Linked DNA regions of Drosophila melanogaster. The protein of the gene in region 2 purifies or fractionates together with the protein of the main gene of each other region. This does not show direct contact. Each region holds a gene or a part of one and is shown on either strand. Other genes may lie near its edges. The genes, in order: Vps45, Syx13, Snap29 and Vamp7.

Evidence for each region.
Region 1: the proteins of Syx13 (region 2) and Vps45 purify together in Drosophila melanogaster (affinity purification with western blotting, with the first as the bait; one study listed by BioGRID). This does not show direct contact.
Region 3: the proteins of Syx13 (region 2) and Snap29 purify together in Drosophila melanogaster (affinity purification with western blotting; 2 studies listed by BioGRID, with this or other methods). This does not show direct contact.
Region 4: the proteins of Syx13 (region 2) and Vamp7 purify together in Drosophila melanogaster (affinity purification with western blotting; 2 studies listed by BioGRID, with this or other methods). This does not show direct contact.

The regions. Positions count from the first base shown.
Region 1 is NT_033777.3:9,562,102-9,567,175, reverse strand, and holds Vps45 (vacuolar protein sorting 45), read right to left. Parts: upstream 3,253-5,074; 5' UTR 3,151-3,252; coding exon 3,058-3,150; intron 2,995-3,057; coding exon 2,796-2,994; intron 2,745-2,795; coding exon 1,312-2,744; 3' UTR 1,084-1,311; downstream 1-1,083. Other genes in the region: CG16789 (uncharacterized protein), read right to left, coding at 1-620, 713-952; CG9393 (uncharacterized protein), read left to right, coding at 3,654-3,740, 3,840-3,986, 4,081-4,359, 4,606-5,001.
Region 2 is NT_037436.4:13,042,463-13,047,961, reverse strand, and holds Syx13 (syntaxin 13), read right to left. Parts: upstream 3,529-5,499; 5' UTR 3,397-3,528; intron 3,325-3,396; exon of another isoform or gene 3,113-3,324; intron 3,045-3,112; 5' UTR 3,043-3,044; coding exon 2,367-3,042; intron 1,746-2,366; coding exon 1,567-1,745; 3' UTR 1,068-1,566; downstream 1-1,067. Other genes in the region: CG11279 (uncharacterized protein), read right to left, coding at 510-727, 791-881; RpS4 (ribosomal protein S4), read right to left, coding at 4,135-4,388, 4,625-4,796, 5,423-5,499.
Region 3 is NT_033778.4:23,842,685-23,847,026, forward strand, and holds Snap29 (Synaptosomal-associated protein 29kDa), read right to left. Parts: upstream 2,080-4,342; 5' UTR 1,963-2,079; coding exon 1,695-1,962; intron 1,626-1,694; coding exon 1,039-1,625; 3' UTR 799-1,038; downstream 1-798. Other genes in the region: shu (shutdown), read right to left, coding at 1-394, 452-510; CG5554 (uncharacterized protein), read left to right, coding at 2,475-2,647, 2,851-3,012, 3,082-3,256, 3,423-3,905.
Region 4 is NT_033778.4:9,839,837-9,844,084, reverse strand, and holds Vamp7 (Vesicle-associated membrane protein 7), read left to right. Parts: upstream 1-1,582; 5' UTR 1,583-1,784; intron 1,785-1,859; exon of another isoform or gene 1,860-1,917; 5' UTR 1,918-2,034; coding exon 2,035-2,238; intron 2,239-2,316; coding exon 2,317-2,545; intron 2,546-2,609; coding exon 2,610-2,677; intron 2,678-2,735; coding exon 2,736-2,891; 3' UTR 2,892-3,005; downstream 3,006-4,248. Other genes in the region: sting, read right to left, coding at 1-125, 182-281; Marc (mitochondrial amidoxime reducing component), read right to left, coding at 3,036-3,141, 3,215-3,501, 3,570-4,192.

The DNA.
Region 1 (5,074 bases), on a different chromosome or scaffold from region 2:
GCTTGCGCCTGGTAGCGCTTCTCGTTGTGTTGCAGCTTCTCCAGCTTCTCGGCTCGTTCCTTAACCACAGCCGGCGGTGGTGGCAGCATTCCGATTAGGATCATCTCCTCCATTTTGCGGCGCCGCGTTATCCGTCGGGCTGTGTGGCCACGCCACATCTTCTGAATCTTCATGGCAGCCAAAAGACCAGAGTCACTGCGCTCCTTTTCGGTGCGCTCCTCCGACTTGCCCTTCTCCTTTAGGATGCGAATCTCCTTCATGAAGTGGGCACGCAAGCGTCCTTGTCGCGCTCGCTCGTGCATTTGAAGCATCCTAATGGCTTCGATCTCGGTGGTAACCGTCTCCTCCAGCTCGTGCTCCTCAAGCCAACCCAGCTTCGTTAGGATCTCATGCATGGTCTTCTTTCGAAACTCTAGCTCCTGCTGACGCTCGCGCAGAAAGTAGCGTGGTATCCTCAGCTCCGTTTCCATGGGCGTCAGGCGCAGGCGTTCCACCACCTCGTCGTTGTAGCTAAATTCCATCAAGTCGATATTTACGAGATCGTGCTTCAGCTCCACCACTCGACCCAGACAGGCGTCTAGTAATTTACGCACCAACTGGCGCTTCTGAGGCTGAATCATCTATGATGAAAGATGAGAAGTAAACCAGAGTCAAAGGATATATCATCTCCTTATATATATCCCACTTTTGTTTAAGAAAGTCGTATACCCACATTATCATAGACATCCTCCAAACGATTGCTCAGACATATGTAGCGCAGATAGAACTCGTACAGACTGGACTGCAGCAAGGCCTTGGCATCCGCATCGGCGGCGACGGATCCGACCGCTGCATTCATGGTGGCCACCGTCGTCTCCACATCCTGGTGCTGCCTCTCATAGTCAATCGTGGATAGAAGCTCGCATTCATGCTGGGATTGGTGCCAGATATCATTGAAATATGTGCTGGACATGATGGTCAATGATACTCCTCCAATGAAAAATCAGATTCTTGTTTGAGCCAAACGAAACGTTGCCTGGGAGTTGCCAAGGAACTTTTTGCCGAAACGGGGTGGAATTATTGCAAGGACAACGAGAGTTTAGTAATTTTGTACACACATAGTTGTATATAATACATTTTGTCCAAGGCGTTGCCTGGTGTTACCCTCGAGAATAACAATAAATATGTTTACATGGTTACGCTTAAAAGGTTAAATAGTCCAATGGATTTGAATTGGTACAATGCATGGAATACCTTAATACATAATGCACATTCATATTTAGTTAATAAATAGTTAACAATATAATTGGGGCTATCTAGTCAAAATAGACTTTAAATGTTATCCGTGGAACAGTACTTGATCATGGATTTGGTGTGCTTAAACTGAATGCCACTAGTGGCGGCCACGACCTCTTGGATAAAACTCTGCGAGTTATGGATGGTGGTGCCGCCAAGAATGACTTTATAGCCGGCGTTGTTTAACTGGTGCACCGCTAAGGCTTCCTCGTACGTGGCACCGCCAATAATGAACACGACAACCTCCTGCGGTGGTCGTCGAAATGGCACAAGCTCTGAATTGATGGCCGGGAAGAGGGGATCCAGCTCGCGGCCCTTAAACACGTCCTCCAAAGTTTCCTTCAGGAGAGGAGTGTGCTGTGTGAAGACATTTTCCACACCCTTAAGGCCCTTAATCAAATTCCGTGTCAGCTTTACGGCGTCCGTTATCCGCACCATATTGAAGAGATCTCCTTGTCGTACATGGGTTCCAGCATACTCAATCAACGATGGCACTATAGCCGCTCGTCCACCGCGCGTTTTGATTATTTGCAGCAGTCCAGATGTGTCGCAGTTGGCGTGTCGCTCGTATCGCAATGCATAAAGTGCCACCAACTTAAGAGCATCATCGATGGAAACCCGTTCGTCGGCAATTAGTTTTTTGATTCTCTGCAGCTGGGCCGAGTGCTCCGCCTTGCAAGCGATCTCCTGTTCAAGTTCGGAAACCTCGAAGAGATTCCTCTTGTTGCTCAGCGCCGACAGTTCTCCAATCACACACAAATGCTTTTGCACAGTGCCAGACATTTTTTTAAACTGCGGATATGACTCAATAAAGTTCTTCATGTCTGCTATGCTCTCCACTTTCTTGTGGTCGTTCGCCTTGCGCTGGAACTCCTCCATCAGTTGTTTGATGGTAGATCCGATTTCGCCGTAGTTGGCGTACATGTTGTTGCCATAGAAGTCATCCTGATCACCGGATAAGACCAGCTCCTTGAAGTCTTTCGGCACATTGGGGCAATTGGACAGGTCCAATCGATTGTTTTTTATGTGCAGCAACTCATGCACCATGGCCTGGTATGTCCACTGATGCAAAAGCGGCGTCACAGGATCGTCCCTGCGGTCCAGCACAAGCAGCAGCGGTGGCGCAGCGCCATCCATGTTGGAGCGAAAGTCGAATAGCGAGGACTCTTTTGTGATTTGCTCGTATATGAGCTTGGCCAGAAGCTGCGCTGCCTGAGAACCGGCTCGGTACCGGATCACTGGGTTCAGCTTAAGGGACAACAGCACGGCTGTGATGCCCTGCATGCTGCGGTTGAGAGCGTCCGGCAGCCAATTAAGATTCGCCATGCAATTGGGAATGCCTAATGAGAACAGATTGGGGTTGACGCACAGGTAGTCTGCATACAGTTCCTTCACTTCTCGCACCGATTCGGATTCGTCGCACTCTGCCAAGTATTTAATGTCCGTCCGGGGAATGATGTTGCTGAAATCTATTTATGAGTTTAGTACTATTCCGAAGGTGCTTCTACTGACCCACTTACAAATGTAGTAGGCGCTGTATTTGGGGTTCCGCAACTCGTTGGCCAGTAGCTGGATGTTCTGCTTGGTGGGGCGTATAAAGACGATGCATTTTAGATACTTTAACCGCTCGTTGGATCTTCCCGAGTCCAGGCGCTCAAATAGGTACACCTCCCGTTGCAGCATGTCCGATTGGCTAAAGGCCATCGAAATTATACTGGTCTGCGAATGATGTGAATTTTTGATCATATGGCAGGGGATTTGATTGTCAGTCCTTGCACTTACCGTCTCCTTGTCCAGCAGAATGATTTTCATGCCCGGTCCCGACTCGGAGCACATTTTCTCGATGTACAACTTAATGCCGCTTATCAGATTCATGACTGCTAACTAATTTACTGCGAAAATCAGAAATTAATGTTTTTTTTCGCAAACAGATGGGTTGGAGATGCCCCAATTGCGATAGCTCCGTGATAACAGCGGTGACCAAACATTTGGGTAACATTCGCTAGATCTAGCTAATGTAAAATAATGTGAATATGTAAAAATGCATATAGATAAAAACTTACAATTTTTTGGTAGTATAATAAAAATAGCAATAAAGATAAACATAAATAGCAATTAAGCTCAAACATAATTCCGTATCTTTTCATTAGCCAAAATAAACTTCGAGTAGCAACATCCCTGGCCGGCAATCGATAAAGCGCCGATATGCTCGAGCGATATATCGAGTGCCCAGTAGTTATCAGTCTGAAGCACTCGCAGCAGTCGGCCAGAAATTCTGGCATATATTTTTGGATTCAAATTCGGATGGCTGATATGCAGGTGGACTGTTGAAAACCGGCTAAATACAAGAGTACGAGCAAAGCATAGACTAGGACACAATGGAGATGCAACTGGGAGCCATGCTGTATGTGTACAAGGGGGAGTACGGACTGCCGTCCATAGATTTTGAATGTTTACGTGCTCTGGTAAGTTCCGTTGCATCACACGGCGGCCAGCACGCCTGTTTTGCCCATTATCGCAGATGATGAAAGAAACTGATGAAAGCGCCTCTTTGCCGGAAACAGTGCCTCCTGCGATTCACCCGCTGCCCCATGGACGTGCAGACCAGCTCCAATCCGCTGCGTTCGGGAGCCGGGAAGCTGCCGTATCTGCAGATCGGCAACCAGAAGTTCGCGGGCTATAGGCAAATTAAGCGCGTGCTGGATCTCGAGGTGAGTGAGCAAAACAATGCCGGGGTGAACAAACTGCAGGCTCTATTTATAGATATGTGTTTTTTTATGGGCTTAATTCGACGTATTCTTTCAGGGTTACCCGATAGATGCGCATTTAAGCACTAAACAAAAGCATTTGTCCACCGCCTACGCCAACTGGGTGTTCACCAATCTGCATGCCTACTACCACTACTTCCTGTTTGGAGAGCCTCACAATTTTGACACAACCACGCGGGGCCTCTACGCCAAGCGCACGCCATTCCCCTTCAACTTCTACTACCCGTCGTCCTACCAAAGGGAAGCCTGCGACGTGGTTCAGGTGATGGCCGGTTTCGATGTGAACGACAAGTTGGACAAGCACGAAGGCGACTACGTGAGTGCTTTCAATTTCATATTGTCTCATATTACATTATTGTATCTTTAAATCCGAGGATTTTTTAATTTGTTTATCTAACCTATGTTTTACACCCAAGCTGCATTTCGATTGGAAACGTTTCATCAGTTTATATTAATAAGAAACAGTTTCTCATGTATTGGTCTTTTGTTATCAATATATCTTATCAATGTTGTGAAAAGCAAGACGTTTCTTTAACTATCAATTAATCATTTTACTTTACAGCTCGTTGTCAATGCCAAAAAAGTGGTGAACCTGCTCTCCCGGAAATTGGGTCGCAAGGTGTGGTTCTTTGGCGACACCTACAGCGAGTTTGATGCCATTGTCTACAGCTATCTTGCCATCATCTTTAAGATCGCACTGCCTAACAATCCACTGCAGAATCACATTAAGGGCTGCCAAAACCTAGTGAACTTTATCAACCGCATCACGAAGGACATATTCCGCATCGAGGGATACAGTTCCGTCAAGCTCACAAAGACACCCAGTGGCACGGAGGCCAGTCTGACGGCCTCGGAGCGCAAGTTCCTAGACTCCGAGCTGAACACCAAAATAGTAGCCGGCGTGGGAGCCGTCTTGGCCATGGGAGCGTTTGCGGCATGGCGTGGGATTTACAACCAGGTGGGTATTTTTGGCTGAAATTTGTAGTTCTTTACTCTTGACTTGATGGAGCTTATTCGATAGTTCTGGTTCA
Region 2 (5,499 bases):
AATTTGCACGGCATTTAAAAGAAAATGTTATCGTTCTTAGTAATTTGCATTCATTGTGAAACATACTGAATAAAATATTCAAGATTGTAAGACAATGTACTCTGCATTTGGCAACATTTAACTTTTTATAACATAAAATAGTTCATACTAACATTGAAAATGAATTTGTTCATTTAGTATAGCTTCTAATGAATGAATTTAGTATCAAATATTAGGTTCACCTGACCATCAATAGAAATGCAATCCTAAAACTCAGCGAGAACTACAAAATTTAAGTAACTTTCTTAATTTAGTAGACTGTTGAGAGATTGCAGATACTAACAACGCTTTAAAGCTCATATGCTCTGATATTAGGCGGATTTGTTAATCCTTTTGGCAATCTTAAGAGGAGAATTCGTTTCCTTTGGGTTCCAATCGATGCTATAACAAAGGAAATAGTTTTAGAAATGTTTTACTATACAATATGCAGGTCATTTGGTTATCAACAGAGTACTTATGCCTAGAGTAAGCTATTCCGCGGACTTGGCGGTACTGGCCGCCGCAGCCGCCTTCGCCTGGGAGGCGTGGTGCTTGGCCACCGCCTCCTGGGCCTTGCTCAACTGGATGTAGCCCTCGTGGGCGCGGGAGCGCAGTTCGCTCTCCACGCTCTTGTTGACCGACTTCGAAATAACGGACTTGATCTTCTGCGTCTCATTGAACTTGGCCTTTTTCGCCTGAATTGGCGCATCTGTAAATTAATAAAACAAAAACATAGAATTTGGAGAAGATTGTTAAGCATGTGGGTAATCACTTGATCGACGGGTGAAAGCAGCTTGCTTTTGGTTCTTCTTTTTCTGTATCGCTGCTGGTAGCTTGGCCTTCTTGAATTTTCCCTGTGGCATCTTTACAAATGACAAATTTTTATCAAGAAAACGAAATATAAATGTTTTGCTGTGCAGCACGTTGTTTTGGTTTTGCCCCACACCGATAAGTCTATCGATTACGTCCTATCAATTTAAGCGGACTGCCAACCTATTGCATCCTCTTTGAGCCACTTGGCGCGCTTTTCAAATCACTCAAATTGGTTTGTTCGGTTTATTTTATTTTCGATTGCTGGCTCACTTATATATAACTTGTAACATATATCAAAAGGGAATACTAAAGCCGCAGACGGCTTCAGCAATCCGCCTTCCGCTTTCTCGAAACTAAACACAAAAATTTTACAAATTTCAATGCAAAACTCAGATTGCTCGCGATAATCGTTTTTAACAAGAAATAATTAACATTTAAAAGCGCTGAATATTGTTTATATGCAAGTTAAGTGGGATTCAGTATCCTTATTTACTTATGTATATATATGTAGATATATATGTATAATTATAAATATGGTATTTGTTTTTATTTTTTGCTTTAGCTTTTCCTCTACATTCTTGTTGTCTTTGCTCACTTGGTGATTAAACAGAGTTCTCAACGATCGAATATTTTGTTTCTTATAAAAATCGTTTTACAAAAATCTATGCGTGTGTGTGTGTGTGGGTTGTGTATGTTTGCGTGTGTTTGTTGAATATGGGCGTAAAAATAAAACAATTAACTGTTCAGTTTGGCAACGATAACGCCAGTTACGATTAAACCTATTATCACAGCGATCACCAGGAGTATCAAGATCTTGCGCCGGTAGCTCTGGCGACTCCTGGCCGCCTTGGCCAGTTCCGAGGTGCCATCCTCAACGTTGGCGGCCGTCTGCTCAATACTGTTCTCGATGAAATCTGGAAAGAAATTGAGATTTGCTTAGAAAGTGTAATCAAAAACAAGTACAAAAACCTTCCATCAAGCAAGCACCTAGAAATTTTCAAAACTATTACTAATAAGGAGTGAAAAATTTTGGATATTTAAACCTGTAATAGCAGTCAGTAAATATTTTATAATATTTGCTTGCTCTTATCAGTTTCTTCTTATTTTTGTAAGACCCGAAATAATTGATTACTGTTCAAATAAACAGGAAGTTAAATTAAACGATATGATAAGCGTATGCACACATTACTTGCCAAATGACACGGGTTTTCATAAAAGATATGGAAAATTAAAACGTCTAAGTCGTTGTTGATAATTCCAATCAATTTCGAAATGTGCATTGTTATTGAAGCAAAGTCAATGATTCATAATTTCTTGCACATGTTTACTTATCAACTCATTTGAGAGATTTGCTATGCAACCTTTAAGCAACTGATAAGCTCTGAATATTTTGTTTTACCAATGGATTTCTCCATTTGGACGCTATTAAATATGTGGAACTGCGTGCATTTGGGTCGTAAAGTGAGAGCCCTAATTACGGCTTGTGGTTTCTCGATTTGCGGTCGTTGAGCCCCACTTGGATGGAGATTACTCACCCATCTGCTGCCCCTGATCGTGCACCAGTCCACTCAGCTGGGTCATGATCTGGTTGACATCGATGATGTCCGACTCTATTTGCTCGACCTGCCGCCGCCGATCGTCGAGCATGTCGTGCTCCTGCTGGAGATGGGCCTGCTCCAAGCGCTGTTGCTGCAGCAGCTCAGCACGGGCGTTGGTCTCCACCACCTGATCGGCAAATTGCTGCGCCTGCTGCAGGGTCTGCCGCATGGCCGATGAGATGCGTCGCTGCAGATTGGAGTACTTCTCCACCACGCCATGGAACTCCCGGGTGAGCTTCTCCAGCTGCAGCTTCTGCTGGCGATCTCCGTGCCGCACAACGGCCTGTAGCCTCTGCAAGTCCTGACTGGTGGTCTGCACCCGGGCATTGCACTTGGTGTTGATGGTGTGCACCTTCTCCCGCAGATTTGGCTGCTCCTTGGATGTGCCAATCAGTTTCAGCTGCTTCTCCAACTGCTTGGTGCTGCTGTGGATGGCAGTGATGTTGTGGCCAATGTCCTCACTAAGAGACATGAATTCCGTCGGACTGAAGCCGGACGAACCGCCGGCTGCCGCAAAGCTCACTTCGGGCGTTGAATCGGCCATCGCACCATAGTCCCGATGGGGGCCACCGCCTCCTCCGTTGCCACCGGGATTGTTCAAGGCCTTGGACATATCTGTAAGTGCATATGTATCGCTGTGAGTTCAAAGCAGGGGTCTTGCTAAATAGGCCGACATTTAATACCACTCGCGAGCAAACAGACAAATCCCTACAAATGATTCACATGCATTGTTGTTCTTGTTGTTCTTGCTGCTGCTGTTGTTGTTGTTGTCGCCAACTTATCAACATATGATGTTCGCCCGTGTGCGTATGTGTCGGTGTGCATCGGTGTGTGCAGCGCATCGTTGTATGGGTGGCCAGCATTTTCGTGTTTTCTTCTTCGCATATGATTTGCTTTTGGGGGCGGGGGCTCTGCTAGGGCTTCCGCCCAGCGGCGGAATGCGCCACCGGGATGGTCGGGTACTTACTTCGAAGCGAGTTCTGATCCGGGGACGCACAATGTTCGCGCACAAAGCCTTTCACCACACGAAATACAATGATAATTCTCTGCAGCAGAAGCAGCAGCCCACTGAGCAGTGTGACCGGAGCTTTCGCAGCGGCCGTTCTATCGATGCTGGGGGCGGGTTATCGATTATTTGGGCGCCAACTCCAGCCCCCACGCACCACAGAGGGGTTAAAACTCACCCCCCCCCCCCCCGTAAAATAAATGAATTCCTTTTTTCAATAATCTATTGCCCTTTTTTTATGATATGAATGAAATAAGTGAGATGAAGACGTAAACAAGAATAACACAATCATCATCATAAATTGAAATTTAAGTCCTCATTAAAATCTGCTTTTGAAATATTTACTTAACAAACGCAACTTTTGAATTCGTGTCATAGATAAAACTAGTCTTTCAAGCTCTGAAATGTCAATTTTGAGGGTAGTTTTACTTTACGTCCAGTTCTAAGGCATTGTGAATTGATTTTAAAGTTCCTATAAAGTCACGTTTGAATAGCTTTAAGTCACGTCACACATGTCCCATGTTTTTTTTTTTACACATTTCAAAGCAAACATCTGATTCTTTAAACTCTTGGCCAACAAATAGATCAACCACTTCCATTGCAAAAGAAAACACATGTGTTACGTTCTCGGCTTGTAATTCCGTAGCTAAACGTACAGAGTGTTATGCTAAAAGGTAAAAGTCCTTAAACTCCTGCGCCTTAGTGGGTCTTGGCGGCCAGACGCTTGTCGCGCTCCTCCGCAATGCTCAGCTTGACACCCTTGCCCTTAGGCAGGGAGATGTAGGGCTTGTTGCCCTTGCCAATGATGAACACGTTGGTCAAACGGGTGGCGAACACATGACCTTGCGAGTCCTTAATGTGCACAATGTCGAAGGAACCGGGATGACGCTCACGGTTGACAACGGTGCCGACACGTCCCAAATTCCTGCCTCCGGTGATCATGCAGAGGTTGCCTGTGGAGACGGAGAAATATACCAGTTAGTTGGAATCATACGACTTGGTTAATAATATTGGGCGACTGTCATTGCACGTAAAAGTTACTGAAGCGACTTTGGAATGCCGCATCAGAGACCGTCGTGACAAAAATTGCTTTTGGCTTATTGTTTTTGAACCACGCAACTTTCGAGGAGCGTTTTGTGGTCTTCGAACCAGCCAATGAACACGATGATCTACGATAGCGGATGCTTACCAGAATCGAACTTAATGTAGTCGGTGATCTTGCCAGAGGCAATGTCCACCTGCACGGAATCGTTGGCGTGGATCAGGGGATCCGGGTAGCGGATGGTGCGACCGTCGTGTGTAACCAGGAAAGGAACTCCCTTGGCTCCCAGCTGGGTCTTCTTGACCTTGCACAACTTGTACTGCAAAAGAAGCAAAGAAAATGTGGGTTAATTTTAAGACGTTTTATTTCTACACAATTGCACTACCACTTTCATTTAATTGCATTGTAATTGCACGTAAAAGTTACTCAGACGACTGTGGAATGCCGAATCAGAGACCGTCGTATCAAAAATTGCTTTGGGCTTCGATTTGAACCAATAGACACATGGCAACAAGCGGAAATCGGTCTTCGACGTAGCCCACAGAATTACAATATAATGCTTTATACTCCTTGGTTTCTTTTGTAATTGCACGTAAAAGTTACTGAATCAACTGGGATTTGTCGAATCAGAGACCGTCGTATCAAAAATTGCTTTGGGCTTCGTTTTGAACCAATCGGCGCACTATTCTACACGCAAAACGGTCTTCGACAAAGCCCTTTCGATATTTAAGTTAATTACTTTCGGTAATTAGCATAAAGATTGATTTTGTATTCCAAAATAGGTGAACTATTTATGTTTTAAAGATGAAGTTAGATGAATCTAATTCAAGTGCTCTTGCATGAAAAGAATTCCTAGTTGAGGATGAAACCTCAGTTAATAATTTTAGATTTTAACTCCATGGTTGGAAAGCGGGAACCTCTGGAAGCACAGACTAGATAACTCACCTTGGCCTCCTCGGCGGAGATGCGGTGGATGACGAAGCGTCCCTTCACGTCGTAGACCAGACGGAAGAACTCACCGG
Region 3 (4,342 bases), on a different chromosome or scaffold from region 2:
CATGCTGCGGACGGCGACCTCCAGGCCTTCAACCACCGTTCCCTGGCCAGTTTCAAACACGAATTTGCTGCCCCGCAGCAGGGAGGAGTCGAAGGGAGCGGTCTCGCCCTCCCAGTAGCCACTGTACCGAACCGAGACCCTAGCCTTGTTCGGCACCGCCTCCCGATCCACGTGACCGGTGCGAGTGATCCGCTTGTAAATGTTTTCGTCGATCTCGCTCATCAGCGCACGCAGTTCGTCGAATGAATATGTCCACGGTGAACGTAGCTCCTCGCCGTCCACGTCCAGCGCATCCTCGTAGTCGCTGTCGCTGTCGCTGTCGAGACCCAGATCCCTGGCATGGTTCTGCTGCGAATTGTCGACCTCGAACTCAACGCCCTTTTTCACGAGATCCCTGCAGAATGAGTTGCACGTGGTCATGAGTGCCTTTAATATGTATCTTATTACTCACGAATAGGACAAGGGATTCTTGAGCAACTGTGGGGTGTACGGTTCGAAGTTTTCTTCCATTATCGCAAAATTTACAGAATATTTACGAAACGAATTCCGGAATGCGCTGAGTTGGCGCTATTCTTTTGGATGCGTTTGAGAAAAGAGCTTTCCAGCGATGGTATCAACTGGAATTCGATTGCTTGATAGCTTTAGCGAATCGATTGGTCGCTGTTGTCCGGAAGTTATCGAATTCAAACAAAGAACTATATATCTTTATTAGGGCGCGAGCACTGCAACTCGAGATATCTTCCGAAAATGTATAATGTATTCCAATCCAGACGGGGAAACACTAGGCCAGATATACTTGCTTTTTATATGAATCTTTATTTAAAACTGAACACTTATCGCTCTCCAACTACGAGCACTCCATTGAGAGAATTGTTTTGGTGTGTGTAACAATAAAAAACTAGGAAACATAATGAGGAATGCATTCTTAATGGCCTTGTGAAGTGCTCACCGTGCGATATGGTATGGCTAAGATTTGTATATTAAGGGAGGGCTATTCTAAGCAATGATCAATACAATAGTATGCGAATGCTCGCTTGTTCACTTCTTCAGAAGCTTGCTCATGTCCTTGTTCTGCTTGTGAATCTTCAAGTCGACATCCTCAATTTTGTAGTTCATGTTATCCAGCAATTCATTTTGCGACTCAATTTCGCCACCCAGATCGGTGGCCAGCATCTTCAGCACCGACAGGTTGCTGCACATCTCCTCCAGATTGGAATCGATCTGGGCCTGGAAGGGATTGGCCGCCTGTCGCTGGGGCTGGTAGGTGCTGCTGGGATCACCACGCAGCTGGCTAACCGGATGATTGTCGTAGCGCTCCGCTGGTGATAGCGGAGCCGAGGGGCTAGCACCGCCACAGGCACCCTGGTTAATGTTGCTATTGGCCTCCTGGGAGGACTGACTGCCCGTGGGCGAACCAGTCGCGGTGGGTGGTTGGTCCCTGTTGCCCGAAAGGTAGTTCTTGAGGCCGCCGAAGACACTCTTCAGACCAGTCAGATGGCGCTGGCTGAAGCGCAGCGTGGAGCTGATCTCGTCCAACTGATGTGATGTCTTCTCCAGTTGCTCCCGCTGCTTGGCCAGCTCCACGGCCGTCGCCTTACCCACCTCCTGGGTTTCGTAGAGCAGACCTGGGGGTTGTAGGAGAGAGACGCATCAATAACGCCCCTTAATTGGCTGGCAATTGACCCCATGTTTACCCAAGCTTTTGTTGGTAGAGTCCAGAGTTCGCTGCTCAATGGCCCTTCGCTTCTCAGCATAGGCCAGTCGCTGTGCGGCCACTGATGGCGACGAGGTTATCTCCTCTTCGTCATCGTCATCCATCTCGAAGGGATTGGTGCTCCTCTGCTGCGGAAGCTTGGCTGCTCCCGTCCGTTTGTTCTGCAGGAATAGGTCGTCGTCCACGTCCTCGAATCTGTCCACGTCATCGAAGTGATCGTGCACTGGCTGCAGGTAGTTATGGGCCATTTCTTGTGGCGAGGGAAACTTCCAAAATGTCGAATTTTGTTATGTTTTCGTAAACTTTTATTTTCTTTGTTGTTGTCTGGAGTTATCGATTGCAATAGCGATGGTACAAATGTAGTATTTGTATGCAGTTCAATCGACTTATAAATAGCTTGACATTGCAGAGGCTTCAATAAAATAAGTTATTATAATTAAAATGATTTTGAAGATACGATAAAAATTGAATTTGTATGTAAGAAAACTTGAAGCTTGATCTAATAAATAAAAAATCGTGTAACGAGCGAATACCGACCGAATCCCCCTACCGATGATCTAGCGGGGAATAAAGCGGCTTGCCATCTCCGATGGATATCGAACCAGCACTTCTGTCAATTTTCCAGCAGGCGTCGCAGTTTCTGTAACTTTTTGGAACTGACCAAGACGGAAGCTTTAGTTTAATTTAAGAAACTGTCGCAGCCGAACGTCACAGGTTTCAGGACACGAATCGGCGGAGCAAAGCACCAAAACATCACCACATGCATAGCACATCGTACTTTGTGGCCGCGACATGCGCGGCGCTGCTTCTGCTGGCGGCGACGGCGCAGTCGACGGCAGCAGCGCAGTCAGGACTGCAGCCAGGTGGCAAGTTAATCGAGTTGGACGAGGACAACTGGCACCTGATGCTCCAGGGCGAATGGATGATCGAGTTGTGAGTGCGAAAGGGTGGCTCTGAGTAGTCCCTACCCACATGAAACCCCGCTGCCCCTGACGTAACATAAAGGGGCGTGGTGCGCCGGCTTTCTCCAGCCGGCAAGCTGGTTCTTTCGTTCTCCGAAATACCAGACATTCCTTTGCGGCGACGATGACTCATCGGCAGCTGTGTTAAACATATGTTTCTCCCTCCATTCACAGCTTTGCTCCATGGTGCCCGGCCTGCAAGAACCTGGCTCCCACCTGGGAGCGGTTTGCCCGCGTGGCCAAGGATGTCCAGGTGCAGGTGGCCAAAATCGACGTGACAACCTCGCCCTCGCTGAGTGGACGCTTCTTTGTCACCGCCCTCCCCACCATCTACCAGTGAGCACCACATAGACCTTTTCAACCCATGAAATACACATCGTCGTAATCCACGTCAATCATTTCCAGCGTAAAAGATGGCGAGTTCCGGCAGTATCGTGGGGCCCGTGATGGCGACGCCCTCCTCTACTTCGTGAAGAAGCAGCAGTGGCAGAGCATCGAACCGCTGTCCGCCTGGAAGAAGCCCGACACCACCCACATGTCCGTGCTGTCCTACTTCTTCAAGCTTTCGCACACTCTGAAGGTACGTTCACCTAGCCCATTATCGCATCGGTTCACTGCATGAGACATAAGCGGAAGCTTATCAGCGGGTTGATCCCGTTGACCCACAAAAGATTGCCGCCCATCACTCATTACTCTGGTCTTTGCTCTCTGCTGTTGTCTTGTATGTTGGGTTCATGTACTAATAGCATACGCAAAAACTCTTTAAGGACTTCAACGGGCGCCTGCAGGAGGAATACGGACTGCCCACGTGGGGCTCCTACGCCCTCTTCGCCATCGCCACCATCTTCGTGGGCGCTGCCCTGGGGCTGCTGCTCGTGTGCCTTGTGGACTTTGTCTACCCACCCAAGAAGTCGCAGCGCCAGAGCTTCTCCGAGTCCCAGGACAATCTGACCGAGGGCCTGGAGGATTTGGCAACCGAGGAGATCGAGGATGATGGCGACGCCGAGGAGAACGATGACGAGCAACGCGATAGCGACGAGGAAGAACAGGAGGACGACGACGAAGAGGAAGAGGACAGCGAGGAGCAGGTGGGCGATCTGGCCACTAAAGAGAAGGAGGCCGACAGCGAGCCGGAAAAGGAAGAGAAGCCGGAGCCCAAGCAGGCCGGCGATGCTGCGCCCGAGAAGACGGAACAGGTGCGCAAGCGCAAGCCTCGCAAAGGCGATTAGGTGCAGCGGGGTCCCTGCGGATCTTCAGCCTTAGCGATCATCAGAAGCGGCAACAAAAAGACTAACACACTGAATCGAGAGGAACACAACCTCTTACCCAAGCATCATTCGAGCGGACATAATCCGTCTGCTCTGCCTTCGCGCACAAAACCGATTGTTTTCCCTCCTTCTAATCCTAGCCAGAAAACGGCGCCCCATGTATTTCATAATTATGTAAAGCAAAATTGCAATCCATTAAGCGATAGCAAGCGTAACAATAACTAAATGTAACTTTAGTCGTATATTTTTACCTTTTGCCAAGCATTTTTGTATTTTGTGTTCAACTTGGTTTCCACACAATTCATTTCTCTTAAGCATTTCATTTGTAATTGTACTTCAATCGCAAATTGTATTAAATTTTCGTATTACAAAATAATAAAAAAAAACATACAATTTAA
Region 4 (4,248 bases), on a different chromosome or scaffold from region 2:
GATTATCCACAGCCGATCCTCGGGCAAATAGTACCGCCCATTGCTCCCATATTCGACGACACAGCGGTACAAGCGAAGGAGCAGATCAGCCAAGAACACGGTGGCTACAATGCGAATAGAGGTGTCTGCAACGAATCACGACCGTAAAGATAATTTATGGCGTCCATCGGTCATCACTCACCAATATAATCTCCTATCATCTTTCGAAAATAAAAATATTTTCTGCCTTTTTCCGCGCGAACCGCGTTCCCCGCTTCGACAACGTTGCTAGCGATTGCCATTTCGTCTGCATACATATGTACGTCTCAAGGGTTGCCAGATCGATTTGGAGATCTCGCGAAAACTTCGCTGGAATTTCAAATGCCGTTAAATTATATATAAATTTGTTTATTGGGCTTGCATAGGTATACATAACTGAATTTGGGCTCCTAAATATTAATTACATTGCGTGCACATACAAATGCACATATTTATGTATGACGGAAGCAATGAAGGAACTACATTGTTATATCTTTTTATTATTATTTACTTTTGTGTTTGTTTATCAGGTATCAGATAAGATTTTATCAATATAGCCTCAAAGATTCGTTAATCAATTTGTATTCGAAATAAAACTTTAGGTAACAATGTCCGGTTCCGACTATCAGATACATATACAGACATGAAATCTGCTGACTGTAAAGCTCTCCGCCCTCTGGAACAAATATTCGTGAGAGCCGGAGCCAGCTCTAGACTCCTCCCAAAAACGCATATTGTTATTCTAGTGTCTTTGGTAAGAGGGTATACTAGATTCGTTGAAAAGTAAGTAACAGGTAGAAGGAAGCGTTCCCGGCCATGTAAAGTATATATATTCTTAATCAAGATCAAAATAATAAAAAATAACAAAGATAATTAAACATTAACAATGGTTAACCAATTGGTGGTTAATTAACCATCAACAATGGTTAACCATTACGCTCTTACTCTGCAACTTAAATACTGATAGCTACACCCTAAACGAATTATAAGATTTGATAAATGATCTTATTTAAGCATGCTTATTGTGTTCTAATATTAAATTCTATAGAAACCTTATCCTGTAAAAGGCTCAAAAAAGTGCAATCGTGCCATATTTGTGGCCAGAATAAATGAGAATTCTAAGTCTTTTAAAATAAGTAATTTTAAATCGAATATTTCGGCAGCATATGCGCATATTGAAACTACGTATATTGTATCTTGCGTGTGTACATAGTTTAAGTTATTACCTGCGGTTTTTTCTGTCAAAACGAATGGATCCAGGCTCAAAGATCTCAGGAGCAAAAGCTTGGGAACGCTATTAATTTAAATTTACTTTAATGGAAAATTCTTTGTCCGGGGAGAAGAATCTCAACTGGATGAACTGATGCTCTCGTCAATACTGAAACGCTATCGGTGGGATGCCCCTATTTAAGTTGCGGAGATCATTTAATTTAATAAGCAAATGCAAATAATCATAAGACCGTATAACATAATTTGTAAAACACGTTATGCAGTGTGACCGTGCGATAAAGCCAGACTTATCGGCTCCATTAAATATCGATGCGTCGATGTACCGTCCTTCCACCTCTAATTTTATAACTGCATCGAAGCGTCAGCAATTGTTGTTATTTGTAATGCAAAAATCGAGCTAATTCCACGGTATTGTGATGTTTTTATTGTGTTCGGCAAAAGCAATTGAAAATCGATAATAACTTAAGCCGCTTACCACAAAATGTAAATCTGCAGTTGCGCTATCAACTCGAGGCGGATCTAATTGGATAAACAAAGCAAGTACTTTGATATAACAATTTGCATATTACACATATATACGTATGTTACTCATAAACAGAGTTATTGTTCAGATTGATAGGCTCGCAATTGGATAGTAGTAGTTTCTAAATCGATATGTACATTTCTCAGAATCCGAGAGCACGTCATCATTGACGGATCGTCGGCTCATTCCCCGATAAGCAAAACAAAGCAGTAGCCTGAGGAGCTGAACAACCGCGCCCTTAGCAAAGGAGAATCTGTGGCACCATGCCGATACTATATAGTGTGATATCGCGGGGCACCACAGTGCTGGCGAAGTTTGCGGAGTGCGTCGGCAACTTTGCCGAAGTGACGGAGCACATAATCGGACGGATCGGGGTGCATAACCACAAGATGACCTACACACACGGAGACTACCTGATCCACTACACCTGCGAGAACAAACTGGTCTACATGTGCATCACCGACAACGTGGGTGAACGAACCACTGGCCCAATTAGCCACCTCAGTTGCTTATTGCCCAATCGATAACGTATCGTTTCTTTGTAGGAGTTCGAACGGTCGCGGGCCTTCCTCTTCTTGGCGGATATCAAGCAGAAGTTTATCCAGACTTACGGCCTACAGGTGGCCACCGCCATCGCCTACTCCATGAACACCGAGTTCTCCAAGATCCTGGCCCAGCAGATGGTCTATTTCAGTCAGTCCCGGGAGGTGGACACCATTTCGCGAGTACATGGTCAGATTGACGAGCTTAAAGACATTATGGTTAAGAATATTGGTATGAAGGAAGGAAAATCCGTATGTTCTTTTTGTTTACTATTCCCTTTTCATCCCATTTGCAGACAGCTTGCGGGATCGCGGCGAGAAACTAGAGCTGCTCGTCAACAAGACCGAAAACTTGAGCAATAATGTAAGGTGATGCCAAGCAGAGACTTTTAAATGTGTTTTTCATTTGATCTCTCTTACAGTCCGTTGCATTCCGTAAGGCCTCCCGAAATTTGGCTCGTCAAATGTTTTGGAAGAACATCCGCGTCTACGTGGTGGTGGGTCTGGTGATAACCTTCATCGTTTACGTGATTGTGAGCATGGCCTGTGGTGGCCTCGCTTGGCAGTCCTGTGTTTAGGACAAGCTTTAAAGTTGTTTATATTGTTATAGGCTCATAACACATGTATATTTGCATATAAAACTCTACAGTACTCTCATCTATGTTCTATGTAATAAACTTCAATGTATACCGGATAAAGTGTTAGAAGAGATAATGGAATATTCACTTGTCCTCCACATACACGACGTCGTTGGCCTTCACCTTTCCCGGCAGCCGAAGTCCCATATGAACGCCCAGAGCCGGCGAACTGTAGTTGAACAAGCGATAGCTGTGGATTCCAGATATGAGGGTCGGGTTTTGTAAGTCGTACTTCTCAGATATTTCCATGGGTAGTGACTCACCTTCTGAGCGTTTTGAGAGGCTCTCCTTCGGAACTCCTCTCTGCGGTCTTCGCATTAATGTTGGTAAAAATACAGCGAGTGCATGGCGCCACCGTACGGAAAACAGCATCTTCGCCTATACGCACCCACTGCCAATTGTCCTCGGCATAGGGCTCATCAACATCCATTTTCAGTTCGAAGTTACCTCGGAACTGCAGTGCATCCACCGGATTCTTTAACCGAGTATTAAGATCGGCGACCGACGAAAGGTTCATCAGCATAAAGCTGGTGGCATCGTTAAAAGTGCCCTATGGAAAGAATTCAAATCAAGGGTGATCTGGGTCCTAACACTTCGAATTGCGCATCAGGAACATACCGAGTCCTCCTGTCTAATGAATGGCATGGACTTTAGGCGGGGATTGGTGCATCTCACTGGTTTCGGATAGGGATAGTGAACTAGCTTGAGGCCGCTCTCCTTCTTCAGGATGGCCTGGGAGAACCACGTGTTGATCCGATCTCCGCAGGGCATCACGTCTATGGAAACGCCCCAAACGGAAGTTTTCACATCCTTGCCAGGACCGTCCAGCTTCTCGAAGTCCAGCTCCAGGTCTGGCATGTCCTGGGCGCTGAACACAAGCTTGCTGGGCGACACCTTCTTCGACTTGATCTGGGTCATAAGCGGATACACCCGAGCCGTGATCATTTCGTTCTTTTCATTGACCACCATCAAGGTGCGATCCCTTATTCCCTCAAAGGACATGCTCAGTACATCGCAGTCGTACTCCACTCCGGGCTTCGAGATGTCCATAGGGGCACAGGACTTGACCGGAAAAAAGTGTATCCTCTCCACGGTGCCCACGCGTCGCCACTTTTGGGGAACCACATCGCGGGTCAGATGGCGGTACAGTAGGAAGCTAGCCCCGCCCACCGCCACCAGGCCCACGCCCACGGCCGCCAGGGTCTTGGGACTGAGGTCAAAGGTCGAGTTATTTCCGCCGGCTGCAGGATAATCCACGTTACTTAAGGATCTCCCAGCTAATCCCGGTTTTTCACTC